Callithrix jacchus: one gene and its partners. The protein of the gene in region 1 purifies or fractionates together with the protein of each later gene. This does not show direct contact. Links are inferred from orthologs where the notes say so. Each region holds a gene or a part of one and is shown in the gene's direction. Other genes may lie near its edges.

What was found.
Region 2: the proteins of CTNNB1 (region 1) and ERBB2 purify together in Homo sapiens (affinity purification with western blotting; 3 studies listed by BioGRID). This does not show direct contact. The link is inferred for Callithrix jacchus from reciprocal best matches to the Homo sapiens genes CTNNB1 and ERBB2.
Region 3: the proteins of CTNNB1 (region 1) and MYH9 purify together in Homo sapiens (affinity purification with mass spectrometry; 3 studies listed by BioGRID, with this or other methods). This does not show direct contact. The link is inferred for Callithrix jacchus from reciprocal best matches to the Homo sapiens genes CTNNB1 and MYH9.
Region 4: the proteins of CTNNB1 (region 1) and AMER1 purify together in Homo sapiens (affinity purification with mass spectrometry; 4 studies listed by BioGRID and IntAct, with this or other methods). This does not show direct contact. The link is inferred for Callithrix jacchus from reciprocal best matches to the Homo sapiens genes CTNNB1 and AMER1.
Region 5: the proteins of CTNNB1 (region 1) and PPARG purify together in Homo sapiens (affinity purification with western blotting; 4 studies listed by BioGRID). This does not show direct contact. The link is inferred for Callithrix jacchus from reciprocal best matches to the Homo sapiens genes CTNNB1 and PPARG.
Region 6: the proteins of CTNNB1 (region 1) and CDH2 purify together in Homo sapiens (affinity purification with western blotting; 18 studies listed by BioGRID and IntAct, with this or other methods). This does not show direct contact. The link is inferred for Callithrix jacchus from reciprocal best matches to the Homo sapiens genes CTNNB1 and CDH2.
Region 7: the proteins of CTNNB1 (region 1) and PTPRU purify together in Homo sapiens (affinity purification with western blotting; 3 studies listed by BioGRID). This does not show direct contact. The link is inferred for Callithrix jacchus from reciprocal best matches to the Homo sapiens genes CTNNB1 and PTPRU.

Annotation. Positions count from the first base shown.
Region 1 is NC_133518.1:78,994,435-78,998,468, forward strand, and holds the start of CTNNB1 (catenin beta-1), read left to right. Parts: upstream 1-1,234; 5' UTR 1,235-1,265; coding exon of another isoform or gene 1,266-1,902; exon of another isoform or gene 1,903-2,122; intron 2,123-4,034. Other genes in the region: uncharacterized protein LOC144579968, read right to left, coding at 332-1,203, 1,266-1,902. UniProt on the Homo sapiens protein: Key downstream component of the canonical Wnt signaling pathway.
Region 2 is NC_133506.1:120,178,185-120,181,684, forward strand, and holds part of ERBB2 (receptor tyrosine-protein kinase erbB-2), read left to right. Parts: intron 1-173; coding exon 174-306; intron 307-388; coding exon 389-479; intron 480-1,169; coding exon 1,170-1,330; intron 1,331-3,500. UniProt on the Homo sapiens protein: Protein tyrosine kinase that is part of several cell surface receptor complexes, but that apparently needs a coreceptor for ligand binding. Essential component of a neuregulin-receptor complex, although neuregulins do not interact with it alone.
Region 3 is NC_133502.1:207,356,032-207,360,294, reverse strand, and holds the start of MYH9 (myosin-9), read left to right. Parts: upstream 1-1,463; 5' UTR 1,464-1,514; intron 1,515-4,263. UniProt on the Homo sapiens protein: Cellular myosin that appears to play a role in cytokinesis, cell shape, and specialized functions such as secretion and capping. Required for cortical actin clearance prior to oocyte exocytosis. Promotes cell motility in conjunction with S100A4.
Region 4 is NC_133524.1:61,521,405-61,525,620, reverse strand, and holds the start of AMER1 (APC membrane recruitment protein 1), read left to right. Parts: upstream 1-1,416; 5' UTR 1,417-1,518; intron 1,519-2,083; exon of another isoform or gene 2,084-2,381; intron 2,382-3,248; exon of another isoform or gene 3,249-3,370; intron 3,371-4,216. UniProt on the Homo sapiens protein: Regulator of the canonical Wnt signaling pathway.
Region 5 is NC_133516.1:69,515,814-69,519,824, forward strand, and holds the start of PPARG (peroxisome proliferator-activated receptor gamma), read left to right. Parts: upstream 1-1,211; 5' UTR 1,212-1,326; coding exon 1,327-1,408; intron 1,409-4,011. UniProt on the Homo sapiens protein: Nuclear receptor that binds peroxisome proliferators such as hypolipidemic drugs and fatty acids.
Region 6 is NC_133514.1:71,258,818-71,262,317, reverse strand, and holds part of CDH2 (cadherin-2), read left to right. Parts: intron 1-960; coding exon 961-1,107; intron 1,108-2,768; coding exon 2,769-2,924; intron 2,925-3,500. UniProt on the Homo sapiens protein: Calcium-dependent cell adhesion protein; preferentially mediates homotypic cell-cell adhesion by dimerization with a CDH2 chain from another cell. Cadherins may thus contribute to the sorting of heterogeneous cell types.
Region 7 is NC_133508.1:65,979,851-65,983,350, forward strand, and holds part of PTPRU (receptor-type tyrosine-protein phosphatase U), read left to right. Parts: intron 1-825; coding exon 826-966; intron 967-3,462; coding exon 3,463-3,500.

The DNA of each region.
Region 1 (4,034 bases):
TGTACTCTCTCCAATGTTTTGGAGGAAAAATAAGCACAAACAATAGAATAGAGAAAGTGAAGCGATCGTAATTGTTGCAGCTTTGACAAACGCCAATTTTGCTGCATTACAATGGGAAACATTTTTCAGCCTATCAAAATTAATTAAAAAACGTTTTTAAAGTCAGTTAAAAATATTAGAGGCTGTCTAATCGATCGCTTTTTCTATAAACATACTTTGGTTTCTCAAGTAATACCGTAAAAACCTTCTTCTCCAAAGAAAAAATCCCCACAAATAAATCTATTGATACCTAGTGACAAGTGGAACCAGATAAAAATGGAATCTATAATAATTAAGCTAATGGACAGTGCTCCGGAGCGAATCCATTTCCACTAGTTACTTGCTCACAGTAGGTACTCAGAAGGACTTGTTGAACTGCGGGCTTGGCGCCCATTCTCCGGGAGTTCACAGCCCTCGCGAGCGGGATCGAGGGCGGCTTGGCCCGGTGATTCAGGTCGAAACTCAAGCTGAGCCGCCCGCTGCGGGGGGGGACCCACCATCCGGACAGTGGGGGGCCTCTGGGTGCCGCGAGACTGGGCTGCCAGCCAGGTCCAGCAGGGAGTGCGCGGCACAGACCGCAAGGTCGTAAGGCCCCGACACCCGCGCCGGGCCGGGAGTCCGCAGACTGGCGACGGGGCAGCGGCGGCGGCGGCGGCGCCCAGGAGCGCCCCGAACTTCCGCCCTCCGAGGACCCGTCCCGCCCGCCCCGCGCGGCCCCCGAGGGCCGGGGCCGAGGAGCCACCTTCCGCAGGCCGCGGGAAAGGCGCGCCGAGTCCTGCAGCTGCTCTCCCGGCTCGGGAAACGCGCGGGGCGGGGGCGTCGGGCTTGGGACGGGGGAGGAGACGGGGCCACCTTCCCTCACCCAGGCCTGCAGGGGCCCGGCCTCCCCGACGCAGACCACGGCGCCCTCCGGGGCCGCCCTCCGGTCCCGCGCAGCAGGCAGCCGCCAGCCTGCGCCCGGGGAGCGTCCGTGGGGAGCGTCCGCGGCGAGCGCGGCCCCCGCCCCGACCCGGAGCGCTCTCACGGCGGCGCACTGCCGGGCCGCGCACGGCTGGCGGCGCGGGACTACTTTCCCCCGCCCTCTCGCGCCCCGCCCCGTGTCCTCGCGCGGCGGAACGCTCCGCGCGGTGCCGGCGGCGGCAGGATACAGCGGCTTCCGCGCGACTTATAAGAGCTCCTTGTGCGGCGCCATTTTAAGTCTCTCGGTCTGTGGCAGCCGCGGTAGCCCGGCCCCGGGAGCGGAGAGCGAGGGGAGGCGGAGACGGAGGAAGGTCCGACGAGCAGCCTCAGTGCCCGCCGAGCCGCCACCGCAGGTCGAGGACGGTTGGACTCCCGCGGCGGGAGGAGCCTGTTCCCCTGAGGTGCTTGGGCGCTCCTTTCCTTATCCTTCCGGGGCTGCTCCCGCTTCCTCTCGGAGCCAAACTTCGTCGCAGGCGCGCGGTCCGGGCGGCGGGCTGGGAGCCGGGCCGGGCACAGCCCGGAGGCCTGGGGTGGGGAGCGGGGGTTCGGGTGGGGGACGGCGGGGGCGGGACGCGCCCGGGGCGCGGAGGGCGGTGGCCGGGCCCGGGTTCCGGTCGCGCTGCCCCTCAGGGGCCCCGGGGGCATCGCTTGCAGGGAGGGGGTGCCGCGGGGTCGCGTCCAGGAGCCCGGATGGCCGGCGGGTGGGAGTGGGGGTGGGGGTCTGTGGTTTCTGTGCGGGGCTCCGGCCTTGGCCGAGTTTGGGGGAGGGACCCTGTGCCTCGGGATGCGCTGGGGCCCGGGGTGGGGTGGGGGGCGGGGTGGGGACCGGGGGCTCCGCCTTTTCAGCTCCTGCGGCGAGTTGGGGTTCGGGGGCTCAGGCCGGAGCGCCACCCTAAGTCCCATCTGTCCTGGGGATCCGCCGAGTGGACTTTCTCTTAAGATTTCGGAAGAATAGAAGTGTTAATTTTATTATTATTAATTTTTGGTAATGCCCTGCCTGTGTGAGTTTGAATCGAAGCAACTTTAAACCTTAGAGTAAACTCTGAGTGCGGTCGGTGCGATGCGTCAGTAGGGTGTGCACGTAGAAAATCCGTGTCTTGCACTATTTTAGCGTACCGTGCAGGTGAGTGAAAGCGGTGGATAAAGTAGGGGAGTCTTCTGGGTTTATGGTAGTGGGCATGAGACCCTAGTGAAACAAGGGGGTGGAGGAAGGGCGAAGGTGATGGCTCACTGTTTGTTACCACGTAAACTGCAGGATTCGGCCTCTGACTCGGACCGCTTCGAGGATTTTGTTCGTTTGAAATAATTTAAATTTATTCAAATAGTTTGATGGCAGCTAAACTTGATTTTTAGAGCACGTTTTCTTTTCAGCGGAGTGAATGAAATTTTCCTTCTTTGCAAAACGGCCAAATGCAATTCAAGCAGTTGAAACTTCTCTGTTTTGTCTGGAGAGAGGACTTTGAACCGAGACTTTTCGAAGTTGAGTTCCTATAGCCCGCTTCTGAATCTGCCAAGCTGGAAAGCTTTGGCACTGGGTGTAGTTGTTCCCTTCGTTCTGTTCCCTTGTGGAGGGACATTGTCTCATACTTTGTATCTTGCAGACATCTGTGGTCTCCCCCGTCCCCGGCCCCCCACCCCTCGAGTTTGTGAGTGGTGAATGAAGAAAGACCAGGCTGCTGGTATGCAGAGGTCGGCAAAAGGAAATCGAGGAGTGGTTTTAGTGCAATGAGAGCTTTGTATCGTGAATAATGGTGGCTTAGGCTTGAAGGGACGGCAGCATTTCCTTTGGTAATGTCTACGCTAATGTTTTTCAGATCGCTAAGTTGTAAAGTAGTTTGTCTGGAATTTAGGAAGCCATTTCAGTGTTTGTCACTTGGTGAACGAACATTCAGTACCTTCAGATGTCTTCGTGTCGATCGATTTGTATTCATCCTGAGAAATAGTAAATATAGCCTGAAGTGTTATTTATATTACTATCCGCTTAAATTGTTGACATAAATTTCTACTTTGGAGTCGTTTCGTTTGAACTAAGGCTGCTGCGACATTTATTTTACTTTTATATTTAAATCTTTGAAAAATCTCTGATTAAAAAAAAGTACCTTTAAGGGTTTGAGGATGTCCTTTCACACCAGACAAAATTTAGTTAATTTGCGCCCAATATTCATTAATTTGACCTAACCTTTGTTCTGAAGGCCATGTACAAGGACAAGGCCCTGAGATTATTGCAACAATAACTTGAAAAACTTTCAGAAGTCTTTTCTGTAGGATTAAAGGAATGCTGAAACTATTCAAGTCTGAAGTCCTGGGGGTGGGGAGAAGTAAAAACCTGTGCTAGAGAGCTTAGTATAGCATGTAACTTTAGAGTCCTCAGGAGTCGTGAGTCTCCCACAGACCAGAGCAACCATTTAAAAGTTTTCAGGAGAAAACAACTTAAAAAAAAAATAAGGCGGCTAATAAAAAATGAAGCATTTAACAGTGTTCAGGTTTCAGAGTATCGAGGGGTTTTTAAAACTGTTACTGGATTATTTCCTTTACCAAGATGATGATATAGAAAAGTGTATTGCCAATATTAAAATTATCAGATTGAGCTTCTTACTGTTCCTGATGACTGGATAAAAATTGGCATAAATGAGGGTCTCTGTGCTTGTTTTCATAACATCGCCACCAAGATAGAAAATGAGGAGGCAAGTTTCTTTAAGAGTATTTTGAAATGTGTTACCAAAAACTGTCATAGATACCCTTTTTTGTTATAGGGCGTGGTGGGGAGAGGTGCATGCTAAATATTGTTGAAACTAGGGATGTGGAGAATTCACAGTTTCAATATCATTATTTTGTTACTATAAGTAGCAGTGAAATTACAACTCCTGCAACAGACTACATATTCAGTTAAATGAAACTTCAGTGTTATTGAAATGAAATAACACGTCTGTCCTGTTACAAGATTATTTTATTTCTCTTTGGTGGTTTCCTAGCTGCTGATAACCAATAATGGTAGATGAGTAGGTGGTAAATTTTAAGTTTGTACTTTGAGCCTA
Region 2 (3,500 bases), on another chromosome or scaffold:
CCTCCTTCCCTCCCCCTCTGTTTCTGAAATCTCAGAACTCTTCCTCTTCCTACATCTGCCCCACCTGTCCCCACCCCTGCTGCCAAGAGCCATGCCCACAGCCAGTTCCCTGATTCACTTGGACCTAGGGCCTCCCCTAAAAATCCCCCGTCATCCCTTCTTCCTCACTGCAGTGGGCAAGGATCTGGCCTGCCACCCGCTGTGCGCCCGAGGGCACTGCTGGGGTCCGGGGCCCACCCAGTGTGTCAACTGCAGTCAGTTCCTTAGGGGCCAGGAATGCGTGGAGGAATGCCGAGTACTGCAGGGGTATGCAGGGCAGAGGAGAGGGGCGGCTGGAGGGGTGCAGGCGGCTCCTCTCAGACCCCCTCACCACTGTTTCTTCTCTCAGTCTCCCCAGGGAGTATGTGAATGCCAGACACTGTTTGCCGTGCCACCCTGAGTGTCAGCCCCAGAATGGCTCAGTGACCTGTTCTGGACCGGTGAGCTGCTGGCAGGCTCAGAGCTGGGTGGAGGGAGGCAGCGAGGGGGCATTGCCAGGGACTTGGCAGGCTGGCAAGACGTGGCAGGGTGTTCTGTCTGGTAAAATATCCCTGGAGAGGGCTCAGCGCTCAGACCTGAACAAGCAGCAGGGTGGCAGGAGAGGGGCCCTTCAGACGATGAAAAATTCCAGAGCTCTGTTCGTGGCCGTGGCTGTGCTAGGGTGGTTAGCCCTGTGGGCTCAGGTGTCAGACTACCTGGATTCAGATCCAGGTCCTGCTTCCAACCTTGTTTTTTTCATTCTGAAAATGGGTATTGTAATAGTACCTGCCTTGCTGGGGTGTGGCGAGAATGAAATTAAACAGGGCTTAGCACAGCAAAGCACGGGAAAGGCTAGTTCTACACAGCAGTGACTGTGGTTACTCGATGTTACACCTTAGGTAATGCATTTTCCTCTCTGGGTGCCTCCCATTCTCTGGCTGAGTCCCCGCCCAGGATCCAGCTTGGAGGAGGGCCTTGAGGGAGGGGCCACAGAGACTGGGTGAAGAGCAGGAGTGTTTGTCCCAGGTGCACAGTGAAAATTGCTGCTGTGTGGCTGTGGGAAGCAGGAAGTGAACCCAACCAGGGACCTGACCCTGCTGCTCTGGGGGTGTCAGTGTCAGCCCCCCACAAACCTTTTCTAACCCCACCAGGAGGCTGACCAGTGTGTGGCCTGTGCCCACTACAAGGACTCTCCTTTCTGCGTGGCCCGCTGCCCCAGCGGTGTGAAACCTGACCTCTCCTACATGCCCATCTGGAAGTTTCCAGATGAGGAGGGCACATGCCAGCCTTGCCCCATCAACTGCACCCACTCGTGAGTCTGAGGATCCTTTCTGCAGAAAGAAGGACTTTACTTTCAGGGGCCTCTCTGGGGCTCTTATTATAAAAGGGGGCCAACTCTCCCCTTGTCACATCTTGTTTCTGATGACAAAAGCAACACATTGTGAAAATTGTAAAATTAAAACATGAAATATAGATTAATGTCAGCCGGGTGTGGTGGCTTACGCCTATAATCCCAGCATTTTGGGAGGCTGAGGTGGGTGGATCACAAGGTCAAGAGATTGAGACCATCCTGGTCAACATGGTGAAACCACGTCTCTACTAAGAATACAAAAATTAGCTGGGCATGGTGGCGCGCGCCTGTAGTCCCAGCTACTCAGGAGGCTGAGGCAGGAGAATTGCTTGAACCCAGGAGGCGGAGGTTGCAGTGAGCCGAGATCGTGCCACTGCACTCCAGCCTGGGTAACAAGAGAAAAACTCAGACTAAAAAAAAAAAAAAAAAAAAAAAAAAAAAATTAATGTCCTAGCAGTTCTATCCTCACTGTTAATAATTTGAATTATTTTCTCTCTAGTTATTTTTGTCTGTGCATATTCTAATATGTATATATATAGTATATATGTTAGCATGTATTAGTATTCTCCAGCTATTTTTCTCTGTGTACATTCTAACATATATATATGTATGTGGTTTTTTTTTTGTTGTTGTTGTTGTTTTTGAGACGGAGTTTCGCTCTTGTTACCCAGGCTGGAGTGCAATGGCGCGATCTCGGCTCACCGCAACCTCCGCCTCCTGGGTTCAGGCAATTCTCCTGCCTCAGCCTCCTGAGTAGCTGGGATTACAGGCACGCGCCACCATGCCCAGCTAATTTTTTTTTGTATATTTAGTAGAGACGGGGTTTCACCATGTTGACCAGGATGGTCTTGATCTCCTGACCTTGTGATCCACCCACCTTGGCCTCACAAAGTGCTGGGATTACAGGTGTGAGCCACTGTGCCTGGCTGTTGTTACTTTTTTTTTTTTGAGATGAAATCTTACTCTGTCACCCAAGCTGGAGTGCAGTGGCGTGATCTTGAGATCTTGAGTGCTACCATGGCCGGCTAATTTTTGTATTTTTAGTAGAGACGGGGTTTCACCATATTGGCCTGGCTGGCCTCTAACTCCTGACCTCGTGATTCGCCCGCCTCGGCCTCCCAAAGTGCTGGGATTACAGGCACATGCCACCTCACTTGCCTAATTTTTGTATTTTTAGTAGATGGGGTTTCACCATGTTAGCTAGGCTGGTCTTGAACCCCTGGCCTCAGGTGATCTGCCAGCCTCAGCCTCCCAAAGTGTTGGGATTACAGGGGTCAGCCACCATGCCCAGTCACATATTTATTTTTACCAAATAGAATCATAGACTGTAACTATTGTTTGCAAAGTACTTTCTTTTTCTCATTTTCCAGAACCTTGCAGTGTTTTTCCATGTTCAAACATGTTGATCTACCTTATTCCTTTAATTTTTCTTATGTAGGTGTCTTTACACATGAAACACATGAAGACATCCTTGTGATAAACATTTTCAGTAACATAAAAGTATAAATGTTACAAAGCTAATAGGCCCTTTCACTCAACTCCCTGCACACCCAGCCTCTCCCATCCCCTGGGGGAGAACCATCCTATTGACTTGTGTTCAGCCTTCCCGGGTCTTCTCTACATGCCTTCTTAGACATATTACATTTACATTAGATCGAGTCAAATAAGATTGCTGTTTGTTTGAACCAAAAATGGTCAAGAGGCTGAACATGGTGACTTGCACCTGTAATCCCAGCACTTTGGGAGGCTGAGGCAGGTGGATCACTTGAGATCAGGGGGTCGAGACCAGCCTGGTCAACATGGCGAGACCCCATCTCTACTAAAAATACAAAAATTAGCCAGCTACTCGGGAGTCTGAGGCAGGAAAAAACCCGGGAGATGAAGGTTACAGTGAGCCGAGATCATGTTGCACTCCAGCCTAGGCGACAGAACAAGACTCTGTCTCAAAAAAAAAAAAAAAAGTCAGGAAACAGCAATTTTATATAGTTCCACTTATCATCAGATTTGTGTGCATGTTCATTTTGCAATGTACGTGGGAACATTCTTTGCATACTCTTCTGCACTTTGCTTTCCCCACCACTTGTGGTATCCTTTCTTGTGAGTACAGACAGATCTACCAGCTTTATTTTTT
Region 3 (4,263 bases), on another chromosome or scaffold:
AAGTGCCTTGAAAACCTTAACTCAGGTTGGGCACAATGGCTAACATTTGTATTTCCAGTACTTTGTGGGGCTGAGGTGGGAGAATTGCTTGAACTCAGGAGTTCAAGACCAGCCTGGGCAACACAGTGAGACCCCATTTTTATAAAAAAATGATAAAAAAAAGTAGCCAGGTGTGTTGGTGCAGCCTCCCACGTAGTTCCAGCTACATGCGAGGCTGAGACCAGAGGATTGTTTGAGCCTGGGAGGTTGAGGCTGCAGTGAGCTGCGTTTGTGCCACTGCACTCCAACCTGGGTGATAGAGAGAGAGACTCTGTCTTAATCAATCAATACACCTTAACTCATTTAATTCTAACAACAGCCCATGGAATTCTTTACAGTTGAAGAAAGCGAGAATCAGAGGGTAAAGTAAGTAATTTGCCTAAGGTCGGACCACAACTAACTGGGTAAACTAGAATTCCAATTCCAATCTGTCTAACCCAAGTGATACTCTTTTTTTTTTTTTTTTTTTTCTGAGACGGAGTTTCGCTCTTGTTACCCAGGCTGGAGTGCAATGGCGCGATCTCAGCTCACCGCAACCTCCGCCTCCTGGGTTCAGGCAATTCTCCTGCCTCAGCCTCCTGAGTAGCTGGGATTACAGGCACGCCCCACCATGCCTGGCTAATTTTGTATTTTCGGTAGAGACGGGGTTTCTCCATGTTGGTCAGGCTATTCAGGTGATCTGCCCACCTCTGCCTACCCAAGTGATGGGATTACAGGCGTGAGCCCCCACACTCGGCCCCAAGTGATACTCTTAACCACCAAGCGTAATGGCTTGCAAAGACCATCGTGTTTTCCATTTGACTAGCCACTGGTCCTCATATCGTAGCTGGAAGGGCAGTGTTATTATTCCCATTTTCCAGATGAAGAAAATGAGGCTTAGAAAGGTGACGCGGATTGCCTAAAGTCACATAGCTAACAAGTGGTGGATGCAGAATTTGAACTTGACTCTTGTTCTCTGAAAGGCTCTGACCCGCAGCAGCAAGGCCTTGGTTCTCCTGCTGACTCAGAGCAGCGTGGCTATGTCTGCAGTGATTTCTCTCTGCGTTCGACTACGTGGGCACCGGGCACCTGGCACCTGGCAAGAATTACGCGGAGGGAGGGAAGGGGTCAGGCCAGGGATCAGGCGACATGACCTGCAGCCTCCTGGAAGCCTGGGCCTGTGATTGCAGGGCCGTCGGCCTCGCTTCAGCAGTCTTGATGGCTGCTTGTTTCTCAGGCTCCTGCAATTTCAGCTCTTCCTGCGGCAGGAGAAACGTGGCAGAGCTCCTAGAGCATCGTGAGAACCGGAACTTGGGCGACCTGCGGCGCCTCCGCAACCATTGGTTGTCCTGAGGGTCGGGGACGTGTGTCAATTTGCATAACGTATTCGATTGGCTCATGAGACGGAAGTGGGCGTGCCCAAACGAACCCACCTGTCCGTGGGTGGAGCGCGCAGGACTTCCGAGCAGGAAGGGTGGAGGGGCTACCTGGCTGCGGTGAGTGGGGCCGGGCAGGGACCTTAAACCTCTTGGCCGACGCGCTCTCGGCCGCACTGCCTGTGTAACCTGAAACGGCGGGTGTGAGGACTCACTGTAAACAGGAATAGGCTGGAGCAGGACACAAAACGTGACATTGGTTACTTCTTGGAGTGGGCAAATTATGGAAAGGAATTTTTAATTGTAAAACCTTTTATACCCAAACTAAATCATGGGAGACTAGTGAAACATAAATTAAAAGGGCGGGCGCGGTGGCTCACGCCTGTAATCCCAGCATTTTGGGAGGCCGAGGCTGGTGGATCACTTGAGGCCAGGAGTTCAAGACCAGCCTGGCCAATATGGGGAAACCCTGTCTCTACCAAAAATACAAAAATTAGCCGGGCGTGGTGGCAGGCACCTGTAATCCCAGCTGCTCCGGTGGCTGAGGCAAGAGAATCACTTGAACCTGGGAGGCAGAGGTTGCAGTGAGCTGAGATCCCACCGCTGCACTCCAGCCTGGGCAACAAGAGTGAGACTCCATCTGAAAACAAAACAAACAAAACAAGGGAAGGGGTCAGCTCTGGAAAGTGACATTGGTTTTCATTTGGAATAGGGCTTTAGCAATGGCATCTTTGTGGAGGTGACATTTTAAGAGTGTCCTGAGTGAAATAAGGGAGGGTGCCATGTAGTATCTGGGAAAACTGCTCCCAGTTGAGGGACAGCAGGAGGGAGTAGCTATGTGCCTACTCAGTGCCCAGAAAATAGACGAAATTAAATTGGACAGTGGAGGAGGGGAGAGGAGATGGTCACTGGTCCAGACATCTTAGATTCTCTAGAAGTGGCCAGCCTGGCCTCTACCCAGGTGACTGAGCTGCAACCATTTAGCAAAAGGTTTGGAAGTCACATCCAGTGAGCTAGAGTTCTCTAGGGAGGCAGCAGGGGATTGCAGGAAAGAGAACCTGGCTATGGGTTCTGGTCCCAGTTTCGGTCTTTTTTTTTTTTTTTTTTAATAGAGACAGACAGGGTTTCACCATGTTGACCAGGCTGGTCTCGAACTCCTGGCCTCGAGGGATCCACTTGCCTCAGCCTCCCAAGGTGCTGGGATTACAGGCTTGAGCCACTGCACCCGGCTGACGGTTTCAGTCTTTAGGAGCCACTTTGTCTCCCGGAATTTCACTTTCTACCTTTAGTATGGTTATAAAGTCCAGCTTGCCGGTGTGTTGTAGGGACAATGGTATTAAGAGCTGCCATTTTTTTTTTTTTTTTTTCTGAGATAGTTTTGCTCTTGTTGCCCAGTCTGGAGTGCAATGGGAGGATCTCGGCTCACTGCAACCTCTGCCTCTCATGTTCAAGCAATAATCCTGCCTCAGCCTCCCAAGTAGCTGGGATTACAGGCATGCACCACCTCGCCTGGCTAATTTTTGTATTTTTGTTAGAGACAGGGTTTCACCATGTTGGTCAGGCTGGTCTTGAACTTCTGACCTCAGGTGATCCACCGGCTTGGCCTCCCAAAGTGCTAGGATTACAGGCATGAGCCACCACGCCCGGCCTATTTTACTTTTTTTATTATGTTTTGAGGCAGAGTTTTACTCTCTCACCCAGACTGGAATGAAGTGTTAGGATCTCAGCTCACTGCAATCTCCATCTCCTGGGTTCAAGCAATTCTCATGCCTCAACCTCCCGAGTAGCTGGAATTATAGGCATGGACTATCGTGCCCAGCTAATTTTTGTAATTTTAGTAGAGACAGGGTTTCACCATGTTGGCCAGGCTGGTCTTAAACTCCTGACTTCAAGTGATCCTCAGCTTCAGGTGATGCCTCAGCTTCCCAAAGTGCTGGAATTACAGGTGTGCACCACCATGCCTGGATAATCTTTGGATTTTTAGTAGAGACGGGGTTTTACCCTCATTCGCCAGGCTGGTCTCGAGCTCCTGACCTCAAGTATCTTCCAGCCTTGGCCTCCCAAACTGCTGGGATTACAGGCATGAACCACTGTGCCAGCCAAAATGCTGTTTTTGACATTGCCATGGGTAAAACAGCCACTACAGAGTCTGGCACAAGTGGTTTGCCCTGAGGGTTGCTATTGGAATGTAATTAATTAGGCAGCACACACGGAATTGCTGAGCCCTGAGCCCTCCGTGACTTATTAAGGTCCTAAAAACCACACCTAGCCCTAATCCCTTTGCTACTTGGCTCTCAGGCCAGGCTCTGACCCATCATCCCCATCTCAAGGCTAAAAAGCAGAAGATTAGCTAAGAAAGTCGGTCCTGAGGGCTGGGTGCAGTGGTTCACACCTGTAATCCCAGCGCTTTGGGAAGCCAAGGCAGGTGGATCACCTGAGGTCAGGGGTTCAAGATCAGCCCAGCCAATGTAGTGAAACCCTGTCTCTACAAAAATTACAAAAATTAGCCAGGTGTGGCGGTGGGTGCTTGTAATCCCAGCTACTTGGGAGGCTGAGGTGGGAGAATCCCTGGAGCCCAGGAAGTGGAGGTCGCAGTGAGCCAAGATCGTGCCGCTGCACTCTAGCTTGGGCAACAGAGTGAGACTCCCTCTCAAAAAAAAAAAAAAAGTGTGTCCCAGAGCCACATGGCCTGGGCTTGATGCCTGCGTCTGCCACTTACAAGCTCTGTGATCTTGGCCAAGTCACTCAGCCTTTCTGTGTGTCAGTGACCTCGTTGGTAACATGGAGAATCTAAGCTCTACCTCACAGGGTGTTGTAAGGATTACAGGGGTAAACCTATGGAAGTGTTTCCAGAAAGTGCCTGGGGCAT
Region 4 (4,216 bases), on another chromosome or scaffold:
TGCCTGGAACTACTTCGAGCCTGCCACCTGACTACTTCGCACACCTCCTCTTGCCCTGCTTCCACAACTGAGACTGCTCTGGCCTTTTGTTTCCCTGAATCCCAAGTTTATAAACTGCTTCTCCGAATCATAATCTTGGTCTGATTCAGTGAATCAAAGTTCTGAGTAAAATGTGAACAAGTTGCAGTGACCAGAGGCATGAGGTAGGAAGGAGATATAATGAAGGTTCTGGAAAAGAAAAGACACTTCAAAATCAGGCCCACAAATGAGAATCAGGACTTTGCGAAGCAGGAAAGCATAGCCCCAGGGAAACCTTTATAGTCCAGCCATCCTGATGGGAAAAAGTTGCATAATGAGCCAGCAGCAGCTCCTTACTCCTCACCATTTATTTAGACTGGGTACTAGGATGGGACTCTAATGTTCAGTATTGAGTTTTGCTGGCAATGTATTTAATGTCATGAAAGGTGATGGAACATATATGTTTTCCATAATATTCCATGGAAAGTCATGGAATATTATAGAAAGAAAATGAGTTGAACTGTCAGATCTCAAAGATATCAAGGGGGCCTGATGATGCTTACCCTCTCCTCATGGTGATGGGGTGATGGACTGGCCCAGAGAGGAAAATGAATTGGCCAAGGTGTCTAGCAAGTCTAAGGTAGAGGTGGAGTCAGATCCCTAGCAGCTATGTCAGTTCTTGTGCTCCACCCATGCAGAGGCAGCAGTCCCCCTCTTACCAGTTCAGCAGCTGGATCTTTTCAAGACTGCCAGGACTCAGAAGCAGCAGAGAACACTCCTGCAATGCAAAAATAGCACACATTGTTCTCTAATCCTTCTCCCTATCATTAACTTTAATCCCCCCACCTCCCTTTTTAGACACACAGAGTTTTAGGGCTGGGCCTTCTGGATATTCTTGAACTAGTGGTAGAACTAGATTCTTTGTTGCCTCAGCTCACCTGGCCCTGGCAGCCACTAATGCCACTTAATGTCCTTAAGCTAGAGACCCAAGTTCGGCTGGCTCCCTGCCACATCCTACACACAGTAGCAGACAAGGCCAGTACAGGCCTCCTCACTTTGTCCTCAGGCTGACCTCCGGTTTGGACCCAGACAAGATTTTCCTCTTAATATTTAGACTTTTCAGGGAAAAAGGCCTGCACAAAGCCAGGCTCACAAAGGATTGGGGGAAAGGGGACTCTGGAGACCTTGGAGATTCCCTCCACATTCCATAGAAGGTGGGAAATTTGGGTGAGGGTTAAACTATGAAAACAGGTATCATCTCAGAGAAGAAAAGTGAAAGCAATCCTGGAAGGGGAGCCCGGGGCTCTGGATTCCAAATTGGCCCGTGTCGCCGGCAGGCTGGGTAACTGTGGGGAGGGGCTTTCCCTACTCTGGGCAGCAGAGTCGGGGCAACACGTCAGTAACGGGTGGAAGTTGGCCTTTACGGTCTCTAAGGGCCCTGGTGTGCCAGAGAGGAGGACGAAGTTGGGGCGCAGGCGCTGCAGCTGACTTTCCTGGCAGGTGAGTCCCTCCTCCGGGTGGCCTGGGGCACGATTCGCAGGGCCTTGTCTCTACGACTAAGGATGGGCAGGCCGAGGTGCTAAGAGGTTCTGCAAAGTCCCTCAACCTCTCTGCCTCGTTACTCCCCGCTGGCCTCTAGCTGAGGAATGAATTGCCTGGTGGCGGCCAGGGCACAGTAGAGCGAATGCACAGCGGCCACGGAAATAGGAGTGCGTGAAAACCGAAACCGAGCTCCAGGGATCCGGTGAACCCCATCCGGGCAGGAGCGGCTCCTTGAGGCCACGGTGCAGCCACGCCACTACCCGCCCGGCGTGGGGGCAGGAGAGGGGAGCCCCAGCCAGGGGTTCCGCACCCTCTCCGCCCCCTGCCAACACCACGCCCGTACTTATTTGCATTTAAAGAGAAACGCACCAAGGAAAACAGTGGGCGGGCCGGGCACGCCTTCTCACCATAGTGATTGGGTCATGCCCCTGCCAATCAGGACGCAGATGCCCCACCCAGTGGCCATGGAGTACGGGGGGGAGGGGGTATGGGGGAGCTACCCAAAGCCTGGGGAAGGGGAGTCAGTGCAGGAGGTGACTGGAGCCGCGGCGGTAGGGGCAGCAGCTGCGGTGGCGGCGCTCTCAGCCGCGGCAGCCTAGGCTGCAGCCCGGCCAAGGGCGGCGCAGCGGACAATAACCGCGCTGGGAACCTGACCGGGCCGGGTAAGCGTTGCGCACAGCCAGGAGCCTCCGCCTGCCAGCGGTCGGGTGCATTCCCGCGTGCTCTGCTCCTACGGACTGGAGGAGTGCACTGAGGACTGGGCGGGTCGGAGTCCCGGTCTCTCGCCCCTCTCCTTTGGAACCCGCTTTGCGGACTGTCGGGTAAGAGGCCGAGCGGCCTGAGTCCCCTGGGCACAAGTGACCACCGCTGGGGGGAGGGGGGAGGGGAGGGCGGATAGGCAGGCAGGCTAGCCTGGGCCATCCCTCCCGGCTCTCCCGAGAGGCGGAGATGGGCCCGCACGTGCTGCCGCATAGTCCCGGGAAGGGCGCCTCCAGCCAGCACCCCAAGTCGTGCATTTGTAGGCCGGGAGCTCCGCAGCTTTGTTGTAGCACATTTGCTGGAACAGCTGTGTTACACGGGTACTGCTCACCCCGGCTGCCTGGCTGCCGCCCCTCTCCTCCCCTGTGCATCTCCAGCCTGTCCCTCCTTTCTGCGGACTCAAGCTGGCGTTCTGGCTTGGGCCCGACAGAGACCGGCTTTGGCGTAGATTAAGACATCCACAGACTGCCCCCTCCCCTGAGGAGTTCAGTCGGGCCTGTGGGCTGAGCTCAGTTGCACACTTCCCTTCAGAACCTTGGCCTTGCGGCCCCAACTAGCCGCGCCCCTCCTCCTGGGCCTCCAGGCGCATCTGGCGCCCGCCCCCGCGGTCGGGCAGGCTGGCTGGCAGCCGGGCTCTTGCTGGTCCTTGGGTTAGAGCAGCGGCCCAAGCTAGTCCTTGAGTTAGAGCTGCAAGGCCGCTTTGTCTCCCCCCTCGCCTCACCTCCTTTTCCCTTGGAAGATACTGGCCGCTTTTTTCTCTGCAGCCTCTGGTTTAAAAATAGCGATGGACACGGTGTTTGGGGGGGCACTGGCTTGCCAGAAGCCGAAAGGTCCGTCATTGTAGTACGAAACGCATCATACCATCTCCGTGTGTACAAGAGATCTAGCGAGGTGGCCAAACCCTCCAACTTCGCAGTTACTTAACATACCCAGCCCGCCAGGCCGCTGTCATTGTCTGCTGGAGGCACTTCTGACACTGGTGATCGCCCGAACGCTGGACTTTGCTTGCGCTCCCCCAGTGGTGAGGGGCTGGGCCGGCCGCATGCGTCACAGCCCAAGCACCTAGGCGGCAGCTGAACTGGCCCCGCAGAGCTGGTCTCTGTTTGGCCACGTTCCCCTTGGCATGGGACGTGGGGTCAAGGCAAGCCTTGTTCCGCACACAGACACCTCCCTCTGCGGCTCTGCTTGCCTGCTGCAGCGGCATGGGCAAGGTGGAGGGCAGGGCACTGCACTGTTGGACTGCCTGCCCCACTGGGTTTCAAGCAGAGCCCCCTTCCCCAGTGCAGCTCCCCTCATTCAGCCCCACGCACTGTACAGTTACTGCACCACGGTGTACCTCTGGCAGTGAGCTCTTAGCCCTTTCTGAGGAATAGGACAGAGGAAGCAACTGAGGGGCTTGGTAGGCTCTTCTTGGACCTTTGATTAACCTCTGGTTTGGAGAGCCCTTTGGGCTGCAGGGCCCAGGCAAGCTTTGGTGTCTTTGAGGAGGGGCAATGAGACCCAGTAAATCCCTCACTTGGGGGAAGGCTAGATATGGACTTTTATGACAGGAGCCAGGACCACAGATATTACACTACAGTCACCCCCTCCCACCTTGATTAGGCCCCAACACAAACCTCTACTTGCAGCTGGGCATCTCCATCCCAGGGCTGGACCTGCCCTCTGCCTTGTCTCAGGCCAACAGGCACCTAATGTATGTGCTCTATGTAACTCCCTTGCACACGCTCAAACCCACTCAGCCTACACCTGTCCAAATCTTACTTCTCAGACCCCAGTTCTGGGCCTACCTTTTCCTTGGTGCCTTTTCTGCCTGGGTCTTGCCCACCCATGTTGACTTCTTTCTTCTCGGAACTCCTCCAGGGCTGCTTACTTCTCCTGGGCATATTCAGGCCTAAAT
Region 5 (4,011 bases), on another chromosome or scaffold:
TGGGGCTTAACGGCACAGTTGCCTAACTCTCTACTTTATTCTGTACTGTTCAGACCTGGCGAGCATTTCACCATCAAGCTCTTGCACCATGATTGACAGGGACACTTTTACTAGTCCTCCTGAAGAATGAATAGTTACTCAACGTAGATTAACCAGATATATATTTATTTTACTCAAGATAAGTATAATTCAGAGAATTATTGCCTTCTAATGTACTAATTGCCATGTGTAGGGGCGTCTTTGAAAATCTGCAATGTCACTGCAATTCTACTAGGCCATTCATGTGACAAGACCTGCTCCCACATCTGTAATTTGGCACAGCTAGTGTTTCTCCTTGCCAAAAAGGGCAAAGGCCTTGAGCAAGAAGCCAGCTTTTTTCCTGATTACAAAACTGACCACAATTCCTCGCCAACCTAATAGCGTATAAGTCTATTTTTTTCTGGTAGTGTGTTCTTCTTACAGAGAACTCCATTTTTTCATTATGACACAGCACTTATCATTTAAACATCAATTGATGTTCAGACATCAACTGATGTAACATTGCTGCAGTTGCAATTGATGGATAAGCTGAAGTTTTTAAGAGAACAAACTGTGACATATAAAATTGAAACCACATCAAACCCTTCTTCATTCTCTCAACTATTTAATTTTACAGAATTTGGATAGCAGTCAGTATCATTTTGGGCTTCACAAACAGTAGAATAAATACCTTAGGAATATAACATTTCAGTAGCATGCTGATACCAATGTTTAAACTATGGATACATATTTGAATTCCAAAGTTTTCTTCAGATAATGTGATTAGAGATTCAACCAGGAATAGACACCAAAAGAAAACTTTGCCCAAATAAGCTTTCTGGTATTTCATAAGCGAGAGATTTAAAGTTTTCCATTTAATAAGCAATTGATGTGAATTTTATGACAATAAAAATGCAAGGCGATATTGAACAGTCTCCGCTCTTATAATTCTAAATACTGTACAGTTCACACCCCTCACAAGACACTCAGCATGTGGGTCACTGGCGAGACAGTGTGGCAATATTATTTTCCCTGTAATGTACCAAGTCTTGCCAAAGCAGTGAACAACATTATGACACAACATTTTGTCAGAGCTGGCTCCTAACAGGACAGTGCCAGCCAATTCAGGCCCAGTCCTTTCTGTGTTTATTCCCATCTCTCCCAAATATTTGGAAACTGATGTCTTAACTGATGGGTGTATTCACAAATTCTGTTACTTCAAGTCTTTTTCTTTCAACGGATTGATCTTTTGCTAGATATAGACAAAATATCAGTGTGAATTACAGCAAACCCCTATTCCATGCTGTTATGGGTGAAACTCTGGGAGATTCTCCAATTGACCCAGAAAGCGATTCCTTCACTGATACACTGTCTGCAAACATATCACAAGGTAAAGTCTCTTCCAGATACGGCTACTGGGGACATGGGGGCATTTATGTAAGGGTAAAATTGCTCTTGTAGTTTGTGTTCCAAGTCATGTTTGTTTTAATATTATCATGTGTACACTCCAGTATTTTAATGCTTAGCTTGCTGCTATGGTGTTCACTTAAAAACATATTCTGAACCTTAAAAAAGAAAACCTAAGCTAATCTGTATTTTATCTCTGTGCATGGCTTCCATTTCCTGAAATTTAAGCATTAAAGATATATCCAAAAAATCTTGTTCATTTTATTTCCTGAGTTTGCATACATTTCCCAAGAAAATGTAGGGCTCTTTAGACTTGAAGGGTCACTTTTTCCTCCTTTCATCTTGTATGTTACAGATCTCTCATAACTGTTTTTATCTCTCTTGCAGCACTTTTATTCTTCTTGAAGTACTCTCAGCTCTTTTCTGTTCTACTTTAAATCTAGATAATTGTGTGTGCACTTTAGCTCTCCCAAAGAATTGTAAGCTCCCAGAGTATGGGGCCAAGTGATGCTCTTCATTAGATTTCTTAGGATACCTCCTAGCATAATGCCTAATGCATTGTAGAAGAATAGCTTGTCGGAACCTTGAAAAATATCTGTTCCAAGCATCACATTTTACACATGAAGAAAATGAGGTCCCTAAATGCCTACTGCATACTAAATAAGTGATTACCTATTACTTCTCTTCAGATATGTCAGAATCAGATACCTTCTTTTCAATATTTCTTTCCTGGCCATTGCAAAATGTAATTTCTATGGCTTCTTCTATTGGAGTTTCTTAGCACCACCTCTACTGTTTGGTATTGTCTCATATCGATGTCTATATTTCTATTCATTTTCTTTTTCTCTTCTCGGAGATTCTGTGTAAAAATAGATTGTTAACTGGTGTGATTCATGTTTTATAATATAACTGCTAAAGCATTAAAATTAAATCACTTAATTGCTGAAATTGATGACTTTACATTTTAACCTTTTAATTTTCCTGGAAGCCTTAAGTTTGGACATATTAATCATAGTTTTTAAAATATCAAGCTTATTAAAAACTAGTAAAAATTGTTTCCTGAAATACTGTTTTATTACAGTCATTTGATTCAACATATATTTATATCATCTAAGCCTCTTAAATAGGAGTTTTGTTTTATTCCATAAAATGCTGTTATTCTGTTTTTCTGCAAGCCATAAAAATTGTTGCTATCTTTCTTCAGTTATTAATTTAGCCTGCCTCAGGGCAAAATGTCCTGGCTATACTATGAAATAGTTCTTGAGTCAAAATTTGATAGTTTTGTCTATTTGAAAAGAACATGTCTAGAATGCAGTACAACAAATATCAACAAATAGGTTAACTGAGAGGCAAGTACTATTTGTGGTGAGGATGGTTGTGTGATTCAAGTTAGTTTTCATTCTCTGCTAATCTCTATTTTTATGCTTTGAATTTACCCTGAGTTTAATTTTTTTTGAGTCTCAATTACCTCTAAAAGAATGATGTAGTACTTTTCTTCCTAATTAACATAATACAGAATAGAATTATTAGCAATTAAAACATTATATTTTATACTAATAATTTAACCCTTGTCTTATAGGGTCTCTGGCTACTTTGTCTTCATAAGCACTGCTTCTCTATTAAAAATGTGAGCTCCTAATGGCCAAAGATCTATGATTGTTACTCCTATTACATTTTATAAATGACCCTTAAGTAATTACTCCATCCCTTCCAAATCAGACAAAAATAAATTGGATATCTGATCATCATTAGCCAAGGCCAGCGGAGTTGGAACACTGTGAAGATGAGGCATTTCACCTGGGTACCGTAGTCCACTTAGTTGCTCCTTCTTCCTCATCATAGACAAAGTGAAATTGGGGTTTGTTGCAAATGGCTGAGTACTGCTACTGAAGAAAAAGTGGCACATTTAGTGTGAATGACTCAGATGTCCAGGTAGATTGAGTATATTCATGAGGTTAAAATCTCAACTACACTTAGCCACTATGCCCAAAGAAGACTTACATACTTTTTCCAAGGCTCCATCATTGCTGTGACCCCTTTATATTGTTCCCTTTTCTTTTTTTATCAAGAGCTCCTCAAGCAACCCCAAATAACCTCATGCTGGCTTTGAAACCATTTCCACTAGTAGAAATTGGCAGGATCGAAGGGAAGCTTCCACAAGCTCAAGCTGAATATGCCTTCTGCTTTTAGTGCCAGACCTAGTCCTGTGTGAATTCTACAATTTTAAGTTGTTGCACCAGAGCCTTGAAGGATGATGACACACTTGTCCTTTGGAGCTGATTGAGCAATGGAAATATGCCTTAGAGACATGATAAATGCTGCAATAGATAGTCCTTCAAAACGAGTCTCTCCTGAGATAGGAGTGAGTGATTGATTGCACACCACTTTTATCAAGTGATACTTAATCTGTGGTTACATAGCTCCAGGCAACCATAGACTCAGAAACATTTAGATAACTGACCAAAGTTTTTACCTTTTCAGAAGTTTAAAGGGATCTTTGTAGTACCAGGGAACATAAGGATGAATCCTGTCTTGGCCACATATTTGCTGTGTGAATTTGAGCACCTCATTTTACTTCTCTGGCCT
Region 6 (3,500 bases), on another chromosome or scaffold:
TGGACTATGGAACTATGCCTACCTACTACTTTTGTTTATACTTATTATACTGTGAGAGATAGAAATAAACATATTCATTTCTGGTATTTAATTGTAAATGTAATATACTCACAATCAGACATGAATAATGTATCAGAGGAAAATATATCATTTTTCTCTTATTTCAGTGTTGTGGTTTTATTATGTGAAATTCAATTTGTTAATCTATTAACTGTTCAAGGAAGTCATGTCATTTGGGTAATATAAAGTGAAAAACCAGTAACTAATGGAGTGAAAAGATGCTTTTGTTGTTGATTTGCTATGTTCCAGCAAACTAGCTTGGATATTTGCACTGAAGCAGCAAGGGCTAATGGTGAAAATGTCTACAGATAGAGGGAGAAGCAGAAGAAAATGTTGACATCGAGCAGAGATTAATACCTAATGTGCAAAGTGGGTCATCTACAGCATCCATCATGGCTGACATAGGTTTAGAATAATTACAGCATTAATTCTGTGGGATTTAATAGGGTCATAAATATTCGAGACATTCCTTAGCAACATGTATTAAACTTCTCTTGGAATTCAAATTATATTTTAGCACATCAAGATCTAAATTTAATGTACAGTAGCACATTACCTGAACTGTGGTTTAAACTAATGAGAAATATATAAAAGGGTACTATTAAATTTTGCTCAGTATTAACTACTATCTAAGAAGGTTTATAGAAACTGCAAATAGTTTACACAGCTGTGCCATATAAAAAATTGTTTAGAATTCAATTTTTCAGATACAGTGTAACCCAAAAATTTTATGGTGTTTTCTGTTATATTAATAGGGGGCCAGGGAAAAGGGCCTCCAGACATTTTTTGTTCATAATAAACTGTGATTCCCACGCTTTCAGGTATTCAATAATATTGATCTACTTTCAGAAAATGTTTTTCCTAGTATTCAGGAATGTGTTATTATATTTTAATGTAAAGGAGTCAACAGAAGTTGAAGAAATAGTATTCCCAAGACAATTAGGTAAGCACAGTGGCCACCTACAAAGGCAGAAGAGAGACTGGGTCATCCCTCCAATCAACTTGCCAGAAAACTCCAGGGGACCTTTTCCTCAAGAGCTTGTCAGGGTAAGGTGGCACAATTTTAACTGTTTTCATAGCATAAGCCAAATGTATATTAGAAATATTTCTATTTTGTTTTTAACGAAGTAGAGTTTATGACATGTATATACTTAAAGTGTTTTTCTGTATAGATAGAATTTCTGTAATGTTGAGAAAGCCTCTTCTCATTTTCTTTGTTACCTCTCGGATTATTTATAAGCAGAGCTCTCTTGTAGGCCCTGTACACTGTGGATTAGAAAGCTTGTTCAGTTTGTGACTACACAAGCCCTAAAGCCAAGATACATTCCCATCCATACCGTTTCTACCCTCACAACACACACACACCTAAGCTTCCCTGTCTGAAAGCTGGGCTCTCTGTGATGATCTTTGCCCTCTACAGATAGTTTTTGGGCCACACAAAAAATAAAGGGCCATCATTGTTAAAAATGCCAGCATCAAAAGCATTTGAGAGTTTTTTAAAGAAAAGAATGACCTCTGATACCATTAACAGAATTCCCAGGGCAATGTAAAATCATAGGCTTTCAAAATCTGTATTTTTATTTACTCTAGATACATGCCATCAGCTACAAAAAGAAAAATGTAGATATTTTTGCACTTTAGTAAACTTAACAACCCATTATTTATTACAAAAGGATAGTAAGACAAAGTTGTTGTATTGCCATTTATTAAAATACAAATGTTTCTATATATGATTATTTTAGCATTCTAACACATACTTACTGAAAGTTTTTTAAAAAAATAAGCCACTTATTTATGTTGTATATTCTGTCCAAATGTACATTATAATTAAGTTTAACAATGAATATAACTGAAATGAAGATACTCTTTCTTTTTCTGCTTTAAAAAGTTTGAGAGAAAAGAGAATTTTGCTTTAACCTAAAAGAAAAACAACTAGATTTCATTGATGGATTAAGTGGAAGTACCTAGTACATGAGGATCTCTTATTATTTCTCTGCGCCTCCCTCCCTTCATCCCCTTTCATAGCCTGGTCTGTCTCCTGCGACTGCACATACATTGACTTAATTTTCCTGAGAGTAGTTGTACTTGGAGAAGGCAGTGAGCCTGTAAATGGTATAATGTTTGCAAGCATAAAAATATAAAAATATATTTTAAAATGCTTTCTTTTGTACTTTATTATTAATGAAAATGTCAGGTGTCACTTTAAAATGATGTGGAAAGCTTTGGTTGCAGTGAACAGTGTTAGTACAATGCAAGTACAGAAATCTGACATTCAGGCTGAACCATAACTGTGTTAGAGTTCCATTTGAGGATATTTCACACTATGGAGAGAATTCATTCTTGTTGTTACTGATGCAAGAATGTAAACAATGTTTAAATCATCTAACCTAGAAACTCCCAGGACAGAGTTTGATTGTTTAAATTAAACTGACACTTGTAGATTTGGAACTTTTGCCCTGCTCCTAGTGAGTCTTCTTTTAGATGTTAATGTTGCCTCCAGTCTTTCCAGTGATAGATGACATCTCTTTTGAAGCCCATCACCAAAAAGCAGAGGAAGAACAGGCACTAGGAGAGAGTTTTAGTGATTTTCTGGGAAGAGATAGTGTAAGTTTGGTAGCTGAAAAAGGACATGAAGTGTGATGTGCCCCATCTCTGGTAATGAGCTCATTTAGTTTGTCATTTAATGTGATTGTTTTCTTGATCCTCAGATCAGGTCTGATAGAGATAAAAACCTTTCACTGCGGTACAGCGTAACTGGGCCAGGAGCTGACCAGCCTCCGACTGGTATCTTCATTATCAACCCCATCTCGGGTCAGCTGTCAGTGACAAAGCCCCTGGATCGCGAGCAGATAGCCCGGTTTCATGTAAGATTCCAACCAGTTGATAAATCTATGTATTAACACTTCCTCTGAATGTCTGCAGAGTTTACCATTTTGTCTTACGTCGGTCTGAAAGCCTCGATACTGAGTTTTAAGAATTGCATCTGTAGTCTTTTAGTTTATTTTAATAATTTTATTGTTTTATAGAATTGATAAATGCTCTAATAGAAAAACAAATAGTGCCCACAACAAAGAAGGAAGTGAAATCGCCTAAAATTTCATTACTCTGTTAGTAACTCTCTACTCTGTTTAGTAGAGACAGAAACCCTGTCTTTACTAAAAATACAAAAAAATTAGCGGGGCATGGTGGTGGGTGCTTGTAATCCCAGCTACTCAGGAGGCTGAGGCATGAGAATCTTTTGAACCCGAGAGGCAGAGGTTTGCAGTGAGCCGAGATCACACCATTGCACTCCAGCCTCAGTGACAGAGCAAGACTCTGTCTCAAAAATAAAAACAAAAATCCATTGTGCTCTGAGAGCAATGCCTAGCATATAGAAAATGATGGCTACTTGCTACTGTATCTATCCTAATTATATGGACTTGGCATAAATTTAATTTTGA
Region 7 (3,500 bases), on another chromosome or scaffold:
CGCCAGGGGAGCCTCTGGGCCAGAGCGCTGATGGGAGGAGGCCTGGTAGGCCTCCCTGGCAGGACGAGGGAGCAGGGAGCAGCGTCGGGGCCTGTCACTGCCTGGGGAGCCTGGGTTGGGGCCCCAGATTCTTAATTTATGGAGTTGGAAGGGATCTAGAGATTTATTCAGATTATGTATTGAGCCCCTCCAGGGTTCTGGGCAGAGACCATATCCTGGAAGCTCTGCTCTCCTGAACTTTGCTTTTAGGAGGTGGAGTGGGATAGTCAGGAAATAAATATACAATGAAATGTCATCACTGGGAACAATTTCTACAAAAACAGCCAGGCAGAAGTGTTTAATGTGGATTTACCTGTGTGGGAACAATTTTTTATGAGGTGGTAGGTGGTAGAGGAGGGCTTCTTTGAGGAGGTGACAAGCAAAGGCCAGAAAGAAGTGAGGGAGAGAGCCATATAGACATTGGGAAATTTGGCCTAGGCAGCCAAAATAGCAGATGCTGAGGTGCGGAGGCGGGGAGAAAGCTTGGCCAGTGTCTGCCTTGAGCTCAGCCTCGTGCCCAAGCTCCCCTCGCCACACCTTTGGAAGCTTTTGCTGTTCAGTTCTGGGGGGTCATGGGCTTGGTCCCCAGAGGCCTGGGCCCAGCCTGTCAACCCAGGCCTCCATGTGCCTGCCAACATCAGAAGTGGGCCACTGGAGGCAGCCTGGTCCTATGGGGCACAACTGTCCAATTCAGGGTGGGCAGGGTGGGAAGTCTGCCTGGAGCAGAGGCTCAGCTCATGCCAGGGGTCGGGGACAGGGCCCCGCTGAGTCCCGGTTTTTCTGCAGAGCTATACGCGAAGCGCGGCCTTCATCGTGACCCTGCACCCACTGCAGAGCACCACGCCCGACTTCTGGCGGCTGGTCTACGACTACGGCTGCACCTCCATCGTCATGCTCAACCAGCTGAACCAGTCCAACTCCGCCTGGGTGAGGGCTCCGCTGGCCGGGCTGAGGGGCTGCCTGCTGCCTGGATCCTCTGTGTTCAAGGGCATGGTCCCTAAAGTCAAGAGTTAGGTCCTAGCTCTGCCATCTGTTTGCTGTGTGATGAGTCCTACACCTTCCTAGAGCCTCAGTTTCCTCATCTGTCCAACAAGGGCATCAGATGGGAGACCACTAGTTGCTCTTTTTCTTTTTTTGAGACAAGGTCTTGCTCTTTTGCCCAGGCTGGAGTGCAGTGGCACGCTCACAGCTCACAGGTGTGCAGCCTCGACCTCCTGGGCTCAAGCCATCCTACTTCAGCCTCTGGAGTAGCTGGGGCTACAGGCTGCATCACCACGCCTGGCTAACTTTTTAATTTTTATTTTAGTAGAGGTTTACCATGTTGCCCGGGCTGGTCTCGAACACTTGGCCTCAAGTCATTCTCCCACCTCGGCCTCCCGAAATACTGGGATTATAGGCATGAGCCATCTGGCCACAGTCGCTCTTTACTGGCCCCCTGCTAAGCCAGGGACTATTCTGCACTCATGGTCTTATTTTAGAATCGATGATGACCTTGGAGTGAAGGCTTCAGTCAGAAAATTCAGACCCAAAGAGGTGCAGGGTCTTCTCCAGGGCCACATAGCTGGGGAGGGGCAGAGCTGCGCTCCAGCCTCGGCTGCCTCTTTCCAGAGCTCCTGCTCTTTTAGTCACTCCACTGAAGTGCCCATCACCGGGGCCTCCAAGGTAGAGTACAATTCCCACCTCCTACTCTCTGACTGTTTAATCTAGGGTAAGTTGACCTCTCTGAGTTTCACTTTCCTTCTCTGTAAAATGGGGGTCATCACAGGACCCGTTCTTTTGGGGTTACTGTGAGGACCAGGTGAGGTGTGCATAGGATGCGTGGCACTGCTCTGTCTGGTGTGCAGTAGGCATGTGTTACATGGCAGGGACAAAGATGATGAGGGTGACAGCTGCGTCTGAGGTTGGCTCAGACACCGGTTCAGTGACCTCAGCCTGGTGTCAGCCCCTCTGTCTCCCCCATTTCCCTTTGGAGCTCTCAAGAAGTGCAGACACCCAGTCTTGCAGCCCTGCTTGACCACGTGGACCCCTTCCCACCCCAGCTTTCTGCTGGGCCCAGGGGACCAGGAAGGTTTGCTGTAAAATGAGTACAACAGCTTCTTAATGGCCTCCTGAGAAGATTTCGGTAACTGAGCTCTTTATGAGTCAGGCACTCCGTGAAAATGACCCAGGACTGCAGGGTAACCGGCCTCAGCCCCTGGGTGCAGCAGGAATATAGAGGGGAGAGGCCCAGAGGGAGGCTCACACAGACATCATTCACTGGACACCGATTCGCTCATCTGCTCAACCAACTTTGCCCGTGAACTTCTCCCTGCAGTGGGCAGGGAGGACACAGAGGGAGAAGAGACACGGCGCCTCCCAGATCTCATGGTCCAGGAGGAAGCAGGTAGAAAAACTGACAGTGACAGCACAGACGAAAAAGGGCTATCATAGAGCTGGCACAGGGACAGAGAAGCCCAGGGGATCATGTATCAGGGATGGCTTCCTGGAGGAGGTAGTATCAGAGCTGAGATGTGTGGGAAGGGCAGAGTTAACTAAGTGAGGAGGTGGAGGAAGAGAGCCATGGAGAGGGAGCAGCATGTGTAGAGTTCTGAATGCACGGGGTTGCCAGGACATGAGGCAAAATGAGGAAGGTGCTGTCTGCCCATCGTGGGCTGTGGTTAGAGGGGATTGATGAGCATGGTGTCTTTTTGGAATAGGTTGGGGGTCATTTTACAGATGGGGAAACTGGGGCCAAGAGAAAAGAAGAGTCTTTCCTGGGCTCCAGGCAGAGCTGAGACTAGAAACTGAGGCTCAGGCTACTTAGCCTGGAGGACGTGTGTGTGTGTGTGTGTGTGTGTGTGTGTGTGTGTGTGTGTGTGTGGTCGGGGGGCTGCATCTCCTCTGTCCCTCCACTGTCCAGAGTCTGGGAGGTGGTTGTATTTAGGACCCTGACTCCAGGGAGGGGTCCTGGGGCAGAAGTGGGAATACTGAGCTGTGTTGAGCACCAAGGACACTGCACCTCTGTGAGCTGGTGCTGAAGGGCAGAGGCAGTGAGAGAGAAGGCTGTGGGGAGGTTCTGGGGTGGGTGGGAGTGTTCCAGGCCTAATACTGGAAGCAGGCAGCCTCACGCAGGGGTGTGTGAACCGGTTAAGATGTAGCTTTCTAGCTGCATAGCAGTAGGCATCAGTGCACTGTTTGTGAAGGGCTCACCTTGGCTGATCTGAACATGTCAGTACAGAATACATTGGAGCAGGTGGGCCTGGCAGTCTGTGGGTGATTGGTGGGGATTGGGGGGCTGCTGAAGGTGAGTCTGGAGTGGAGTCTGGGTGGGCCAGGGTATGTGGGAGCCACAGGGCAAGTGTGGAGCCCTGGGGGTGGGCATGGCTGTGGGCTGAGCCCCGGCCAGGCTCTACTCAGCTCTCACATCTCTGTGCGCATGCCCAGCCGTGCCTGCAGTACTGGCCGGAGCCAGGCCGGCAGCA